Nothobranchius furzeri: one gene and its partner. The protein of the gene in region 2 purifies or fractionates together with the protein of the main gene of each other region. This does not show direct contact. Links are inferred from orthologs where the notes say so. Each region holds a gene or a part of one and is shown on either strand. Other genes may lie near its edges.

Region 1 (4,368 bases), on a different chromosome or scaffold from region 2:
CCTGGTGGCGTGTGTTTTTATTGCCCCGTGTCGTTAGCCAGATGGAAGAAGTTTGAAGAGATGGTTAGCAGGGTGGGTTGAGTCCTTTAGGATGTTTGTGGTTTTTCGAAGGCAGCGAGAGGTGAAGATGTCATCCAGGGCAGGCAGGTGTGTTATTTTCTCTAGTTTTGATTAATCTCTGCAGGGCCTTCCTGTCAGCTGCAGAGCTGCTGCTGTACCACACCAGGATGCTGTTAATCAGCACACTCAGTGATTAACAGCAGCAGTGATGAAATGACACCAGTACTTTTTATGGCAGGTTGGTCTTCCTGAGGGCCCTCAGGAAGTATAGCCGTTTTTGTGCCTTCTTTATCAGACAGTTGGTGTTGTGTGTCCATGTGAGGTCCTCTGATTTGTTTGTGCCCAGGAACATGAACTGTGAGATCCTCTTCACACACTCTCCATTTATTGTGAGTCACTGGTGCTCCACCTTTTTTCCGTCTTGGGTCAATGATGCTTTCTTTGGTTATGTTGGTGTTCAGGGTCAGGTTGTTAGCTGTACACCAGTCCTCCAGCTGCTGCACTTCTTCCCTGCATGCTGACTCATTTCCATGGCTGTGTGTGTAGATGAGTGAGGACATTAATAAGGATGTTTCATGTCTCGTACAACTTCTGCTCCTGTTGGGGAAGTTTCACATACATAAAAGGCAATGGTAAATTTCACAAAGAACTAATTACATACATCACTACAATTAGTACTCTTGAAAATAAAAAAAGCTATTAAAACTATGTGCATTATGGACAAACTTAATATGACATTTGATTAATATGCTCTCTGGTTTTTTGTATTCTTTTTGTCATTCTTTCTGTGTTATTCTTGTGTTTTACCATAATTTTATAGATACTTTGTATCTTGTTCCATGTTTAGCTTGTATTGAAATATCTTGAACATTAATTTTTTTTTAAAATAATAATAAAATTAAAAAACTGGGTAATTGATTCAATTGCACAATTTCACAGATAATTTATATATTTTTCTCAGATATTTTCTGTTGGGTTGAAGGAGAATGGCAAAACAAAACCCGACCAGAAAGGCTACAATAACGGATAAAGCATCTTTGGTCATAGGGGACGTGCTCTTGGCTGACTTCTACTCTTAAGTCTTAAAACATGATTTTTAAACAATGTTTGTGCATCATAATACAGAGAAACATAAACCTTTCCATTTGTACTTTATTTAATATGAAAAACCTTGTGGTAAACCTGTGGGACGCAAAGAACACCAAATTCAGAGAATCACCCTTTTGTATATTTCAAACAATCATTTTTCAGGCAACACTTTACCAACTTTAACAACAATAACGGTCTTTCTGCTTTATTCACGAAAACCGACGCCCTCGTTGCTTTACTCGACTGTTGATCGAATAATTGGATTTTATTTGTTGTGTTTTCCGCTCGGAAGTGTGTAACGTCTGAGGTCACGAGGGAGGAGGAAGCAGATCTGCACAGCTAAGATGGCGGAGGAACAGCAGGAATCATCACAGGGAGAGGTGGAAGGTAACGAAATGATTTGAACCATCCAATATTCTCTCACCTGCGCTGTCATTTCCCTGTCAGGTGAAGCCCACGTTTATGTTAGTCCGCAGCCCGCTTTAATCCACCCCTCTCCGAGTTTAAGGTGGCTGACATTCCACCTTAAGGGCCAGAACTGCTTAGCTAACGCTAGCAAGCAGCCGCTGCAACACAAAGAAAAACGACGGTTGTTAAGTGATTAACAGAGAAATAAAACATGACAGTTACGCGGTTTTATACTTAAATTAATATCAGATGTATGAGCTCAGTGTTAAGGCAGAATATATAAGCTTAATTTATCTTTGGAGAACAGTGACGTTTTTTTGCGTTCAAAATACGTTTTGTTTTCGATGCTAGCCAAGATTAGCTGCGGTGTTCTGGACTGGATCAACTTGTATTCATGTTCTTTCATGGTCACTGGGGTAGAAGAATTTCTCAATCTAAGAAAATGAAGTTCTTAATTCCCCCTTTCATTGCTTCATTAACTCAGCTATCGGTTTTCAGAGAATTTGTTCCAGAATGACGAAACTATGCGTCGTTTCAAACATCAGATTCATTGTCGTGTGTACCAGAGACAATGTCACATATTACAATTGATTTAACATGTCGTGCATTGTCCTGATACCTGAGACATGGTCTGTGTGGACTCATGAAAGTGACAGAGTTGTAGTCGAGTGTAAAACTTTATAAAACAGAACACAATAAAATTGGATGTTATACCAATTTAATGAATCAGGTGCAACTTTGTGTCTCTAACTGAATAATCATTAATCAGCATTAGTTAAAAAAGACTGTGTGCATTGCGGGTTCAGATTCATTTATAATAAAAGTAACTTAGTGATAGGATAATATATTGGGTCAATATTTACAATTTTTTTATATTAGCTTTGGCCGATAAATTTCTTCAGTAGAGCCGATTTAATTTAATTAATTATATATATATATATATATATATATATATATATATATATATATATCACACAGTTTATAAAACTACAAGAAGCACCATCACACAAGTTGTCCAGAGACACTACAATATAAAAATACACACTGTTGTATGATATTGGAGTTTGCTTTAGTTCATTTGTAGTTTATAATACATTTGGTCCCTTTGTGAAGTTTGTTACTGTTATGGCAGCGAGACCACGTTAGAATGAACCCAGTCCTGAAATAGTTGCACGGTCAAATGTTAAGGGGAAATCTTCTGGTTCTGTAACCAGTTTAAACCTGTCTAACCTTTTCATCAAACACAAATTTTAATATTTTTTTTAGTTTAACAAGTTTAGTAACACTGAAAGGGTTTGTTTCTCTTTATTATTACACATATTTGATCTGTTGTGCAAACCCAGTCAGTTGGTTCCTATAAAACATTTTTTAAATAGAAACTTACATTAAAGGGGCATTATGGAAGTGTGACAGTCAAAACATGTATAGAAATAATAAATGTCTTCTTCATACATTCTCCTGCAATGCCCTGGTCCTGTAGAATGAGCCCTGGCATTTTTACTGTGATTGCCTGTTTTTCTGTAAAATCACAGAAAAAGAGAGATGCTCGGGTCGAGCAGGCTGCTTCATGCGCGTTCACGCTCAGGCATCGCCCTCCGAACCGTTCTTTGAACGTTGTTTCAGCTGTCATCAAGGATATAAATGTTACAGACGCAGTAGACACCACTGGCGATTTAGCTCGCCTAGCAAATTTTTGGACTTTTGTGCAGAAGACCCGGTTCGATTCTCGACGTGAACATGGTTGTTTCAGAATTTCGTTTTTACAATGATATATTTTTTTACAGTAAAATGCCCAAATTTTTATCTGAGACTCGCCGAACGGCATTGAATTCACAGATGAAAAAAGATGTGGGTTCAACTTTCATTTTGGAACAATTTTTCAAGTAAAGGAATGGAATGATCTGAGCATGCAGGAGGACTGACCTTTGTTGGCTGTGCTGAAGAGAAAAGTACAGAACCAAATTATTTAATTAATTAGCTGCACGTTCTCCTGTCCTCCGACACACACACACACACACACACACACACAGCTTCACAGAGCTTCGTCTCAGCTGTTATTTTCGTTAAGGAGTGTGCACGTACAGCATGCGCACCTCGTACACGAGCCTACTATTGAAGCTGCCATTACGCTTTTGGCCAGAGGGGGCAATCACGAGCATAAAAATTCAAAACTCCCTAAAGTCCCTTTAACTACAAATATCCACAACAAACAAGTAAAGCATGGCTAACTGTTACCTTCTTGTGTTTAATAACAACAAAATGAATAAATCATGGTTTTGATGTTACAGGGGTGAAATGTGTCATCCACATCCCATAAGAAATGTCTTTGTTTCACCAATACAGAGCGGTTATTTAAAACCTTACACATATGTGTTTTTCCCAGGAGTGAACTGCCTTGCATATGATGAGGCCATCATTGCTCAACAGGACAGGATTCAGCAGGAGGTCAGGCACCTTTTCTCTTTTTGGCAAGGTCACATCTCATTGTACAACTGATACAGAGGTCAGAGGACCCAGACCAAAAGCAGCAAAGATTGTTATTTATGAGCATTTTTCATTCAAGGCAACTTGAGCTGAAATATAATGTTAATAATTAATATAAAACTTGACTTTTCCAGAGAGACCTGAATAAAATCAACTTTGTATTTTCTGACACACACACACACACACACACACACACACACACACACACACACACACACACACACACACACACACACACACACACACACTTTTATTAAATAAATGCTGTACAGACATTTTTGCACTAAGATGTTTTATTAATAGATTTCCTCTCAGACCTCAGTAGTC
Region 2 (4,602 bases):
TGCTCATATTCGTTAAAAATGCTTGATCCGTACCGGATACTCGTTTCGGCTCCTCCCTATTCATTACGAGAGTCAGAGAGGTGACAGGAGCTGAATGTATTTATGTTGAAAACGTGTCTGTCAGCACCTGCTGTACAACCGGTGTGATAGCCAAGATGCTATCACGTTTCAAACGTAGCCGGCGGACAAACTCGCTGCTGGAATGTGTCGCCACCGTTAGCAGGTTAGAAAAGATTATCGCAGAGCTTTTGCATAAAAGATTATATTTGTAGACTCAAAACTTGCAGCGAATTTCTGCAATAAAACGTGTTTGTTCTTTAGATACGAAGTAAAAGAATAGTGGATTGACACTTTCTAAACAATCCTACATCAGAGTGATGAGTTCTCCGTCAAATTCTTCCCCGATCCTTATAGTCGGGGAGTCAGACTGGATCACTTCTATTGGTGAGTGTAGAACCTGGGTCAGAGCTCGAAGCTGAAGAGAGAAAAATCTAATTATTAAGAATGAAGGGAGAGAAAAAAAACAGTAAACAAATAAAAAAAACAACAGAGAAACTCACCTCCAGCTGCCCACCCCAAGCAGCGGTGTGCTCCACGTCACTGCAGTACTTCTCAAACTCATCTGAATGCAAAGAGAATCCAAAAGTAAACGTGCACACACACACACACACACACACACACACACTCACACACACACACACACACACCAGTAACGACAGATTTGATCTGACCTGCTGTAAGCACGTCACCGGTGTCGGGATTAGTGAGGAACGGCAGGAAGTCGTCGACATTCTCCCTCATATGCTCAGCTGTTCTGGAACGGAGCTCCTTCACCGTCATGCTCAATCCTGACTAAACCAGAGGAGGGAAACACAAACTAAATAATAATGTGTTGAACTTACAAAGCGCTTTTCAGGACACTCGAAGACGCTTTCACACACTGCCAGTGATGGTAAGCTACTTTGTAGCCACAGCCGACCTGGGGATGTCTGACAGAGGCGAGGCTGCCATTTGACGCCGTCGGCCCCTCTGACCACCACTAACACAGGCAAGGTCTGTGAAGTGTCTTGCCCAAGGACACAGCAGCAGAATACCCCTGGCGGGAGCTGGAATCGAACCATCACGAGGCAACCCACTCTACCACCTGAGCTACTGCTGCCCCGTACATAAAGTTTTCTCTCTGTCGCAATTCCAGACAGTATTTGTGCAAACGGGGCTGCACAGTGGTGCAGTGGTTAGAGCTGAGAAGGAGGGCATGGGTTCACACCCCAACCTGGGGTTGCGTGTTCTCCCTGTGCATGCGTGGGCTCTCTCCGGGTACTCCGGCTTCCTCCCACGGTGCAAAAACATGACTGTCAGGTATCCTGCATGTCTTTGCGCCAACATTTCTGATTCAGTGGTTGAGTCACCTGTGCAGCAGCTCATCAGGCTCTGCAGAAGCCTGCTAATCACCTGCTGACTGAAATCAGGTGTGTTGAAGCAGGGTTGAAACAAAATTGGTGCAGATGGTCACCTGAGCGTGGCGAGCCCGCTGATCTTCGATGGCGCGGTACATGCAGTGACCGTCGGAGGAAATCTCCTTGATCTGAAGCTTTTTTTGGGCCAATTTTTGAGCCAGTTTCAATCCCTCCTGGTGCCTCATGCCCTGCAGGTTCTCCACCTCTGCCTCTGCTATCCTGCTCTCGCGTTCCTTCTCCTGGGCAGACTTCTTGTCCTGGAAGGCATCAACAAAACAACAACCGATAATAATCGCTATTTAATCCACTAAATGCCACTTTTACATATCAAAAATGGAAAGTTTCTAGTGAATTAGACTTCTCACCCTCCGTTTCTGAGCTTTAGTGACTCGCGGCTGCTTCACCTCTTCCTCTCCTCCACCTTCCACCTTCATGGTCTCCACCCCGTTTGCCACCTCCTCCACCTGACAGGATTGTTAGAAGAAGTCTGAAACTCAGTCAGAGTAAAGGCACATTTTCTATCCCGCTGCAGCGATCACCTTCGAGTCAGCTGTAGATCTGAGCTGCCTGATTTCCTCCTCGTGTTTCCGATTCAGGTCGGCTTCCAGTTTCCCGATCTCCTCGGTCAGCTGCTTCCTTCTCTTCTTGTCGTTTTTGGGCACCGCATTCTTCATACTCTGGATTTTAGCTGAAAACAAAACACAAACATGTGAAGCGTGAGAAAACGACACACACGGTTAGATATGCAACGTTGTCAAAGAGGAAGGTGCAGATTAAAATCAGATCGGTGTCAATAAACAGCAAAATTATCAAATAAAAACATTGGTACATGCCTGCAGTTGCAAATCTGTGTGAATGAATCATTAAAACATCTCAAGATATGGTAAATTTGAGTCCTTTTGTTCGTCTTCCTGCTGGGCAGATCTACTTGCATTTTCTAAGCACGTGTTAATTATATCATCGTTTAAAATAATTGACCATTTGATTATAAATGCGTTTTTGTCTTTTTTTTTGTTTATTTTGCAAAGTGATCATTTCAGTTTTCAGCATTTATTTCGTAGTTTTCTTTTCCTAATTACGATTAGCATAATTTTTACTTTTCTAGCTGATTTTTGGTTATGTGTGTTACTTTTATTGTTATTCCGCTATCCAAGTCTAAATATCAACTGGTCTAATTGGTGACGCGCGCTCGTGGAGGGCTAAATGCTCCGGACAGAGGATGTAAATGAGGTAAACTCAGATTAAAAGCAGGTAAACGTTGCTAACCTTGGAGGTCCTTCTTCTCTTTGCGGTGCTGCTTCATCAGGAGCTCCTCCGGTGCCTCCCCCTCCATAACTTTGGTTGTTCACGCGCTTCAGTTAATTTTCATAAACTGCATAAATAAAAATGTGCGTCACTTTTGTAAAATCCTCAAATTTCAGGCTCAAAACAAGCGCAGAATGTATAAAAACATGCGATAGCCTTCAGGGAGATGAAAAGTAAATAAACTAGTAGAAGAAGAGTTCTTCTTTGCTTGTTTAAAGCTAAAGGCGACAGCGCCACCCGGTGGAGTGTTTCTGTATAAGCCCGTGAATGCTGCAATTTCTCCTTGAAACAATGCTTTTCTGTGGACATAAAATAAAACATTCCACATTTTTATTAATTATTTGTTGTCCTCAACACTCCAATATTGTGCAGTTAAATATTTTGAATACATAAAAGTTATGAAAGCTAAGTGTTTTTTCCACTATGATGTACAGAGGACAAAGCACTCATCTGGCTGAACGTTCCTTCTCTGTGGCCGTCTCCAAGTTTAGGTCCTCCTCTACCTTCCTCGCCCATGGTGTCCCACAAGGTTCTGTACTGAGCTCCTTTAAAGGACTCTCCCACCATCTTTTCGCAGATGACATCCAACTGTACATCTCCTTTAAGCCCAATGAGATGTCTAAGCTGCAGCTGTTACACACCTGCTTAGACTATCAAAACCTGGATGGTGGGAGCTTTCTTCAGCTGAATGAAGATAAGACTGAGATCTGCATCTGTGCCCCAGACAAGCTGGTTCCCAAAGTCAGAGACTCTCTTGGTCAGCTTGCTTCTCACACCAAACCATCTCCCAGGAATCTTGGTGTGACCTTTGACCCAGCTCTCACCCTGGATTCTCATGTCAGTTCTCTTGTTCGCTCTTCCTTCTTCCATCTCAGGAACGTTGCTAAGCTGAGTCCCATTCTGTCCCGCTCTGAACTTGAGACAGTTCTCCACACCTTCATCTCCTCACGCTTAGACTACTGTAACTCTCTTTTCACGTGTCTGAGCAGAACCTCCCTGAACCGTCTACAGGTGGTTCAGAACGCCTGTGCTCGGCTTCTGACCAAGTCCTCCAAACACACCCACATCACCCCGCTTCTCCTCCAGCTTCACTGGCTGCCAGTCAGCTTCAGGGTTCATTTCAAGATCCTGGTTCTGGTCTATAGGGCCTTACATGGACAAGCACCATCCTACATTGACGATCTTCTCAGTCCCTACACCCCCAGCAGGTCCCTGAGGTCCAGTGATCAAAGCCTACTGGTTGTGCAGCACCAGGCTAAAGACCAAAGGTGAAAAATCATCTGCTGCTGTGGCCCCCAGACTCTGGACCTCTACCCCCCGAGCCTGAGATCAGTGGACTCAGTGGTCTCCTTTAAAAGACCGCTGAAGACTCACCTGTTCAGGCTTCGGTGTGATCTTCATCACCACACTTTCCTTATTCTGCTCTTATTCCGCCTTTCCCGGGATCCACTGATTTGCCTCTCTCCCTTTTCTTACATTTTTATAAATCACAAGTTTAATTTTTCTCATTTTTTGATCATTTTTTGAAATCTCTTTTAAACTTTAATTTATTTGGGTTTGTTTTTGTGAAGCGCCTCGTGATTTTTATCATGAAAACTACATAAAATGTTTTCGTTCTTTCCTTTCTAACAATTAGAGCTTTGGTACAGAATACAAACTTAAAAATAAAAATAAAATTGCAAGCAACAAAATATATTAGTTGTTTAGAAATGTTACCAATATAAATGTGTTTCTAAATTTGTATATGCAATAATCTCATTTTTCAAGCTTTAAGTATTTTGAATCTTTTAAAAATTACTCTTTTGTCCTTTTTGCTCCTGTAGTTAATTTAATTGCTACC

Evidence for each region.
Region 1: the proteins of otud6b (region 2) and otub1b fractionate together in Homo sapiens (co-fractionation; 4 studies listed by BioGRID and IntAct, with this or other methods). This does not show direct contact. The link is inferred for Nothobranchius furzeri from reciprocal best matches to the Homo sapiens genes OTUD6B and OTUB1.

Annotation. Positions count from the first base shown.
Region 1 is NC_091743.1:88,837,738-88,842,105, reverse strand, and holds the start of otub1b (ubiquitin thioesterase OTUB1b), read left to right. Parts: upstream 1-1,264; 5' UTR 1,265-1,493; coding exon 1,494-1,536; intron 1,537-3,940; coding exon 3,941-4,002; intron 4,003-4,368. UniProt on the Homo sapiens protein: Hydrolase that can specifically remove 'Lys-48'-linked conjugated ubiquitin from proteins and plays an important regulatory role at the level of protein turnover by preventing degradation.
Region 2 is NC_091759.1:19,537,397-19,541,998, forward strand, and holds the start of otud6b (deubiquitinase OTUD6B), read right to left. Parts: upstream 2,940-4,602; 5' UTR 2,791-2,939; coding exon 2,724-2,790; intron 2,146-2,723; coding exon 1,997-2,145; intron 1,922-1,996; coding exon 1,823-1,921; intron 1,715-1,822; coding exon 1,514-1,714; intron 853-1,513; coding exon 732-852; intron 623-731; coding exon 561-622; intron 476-560; coding exon 369-475; intron 1-368.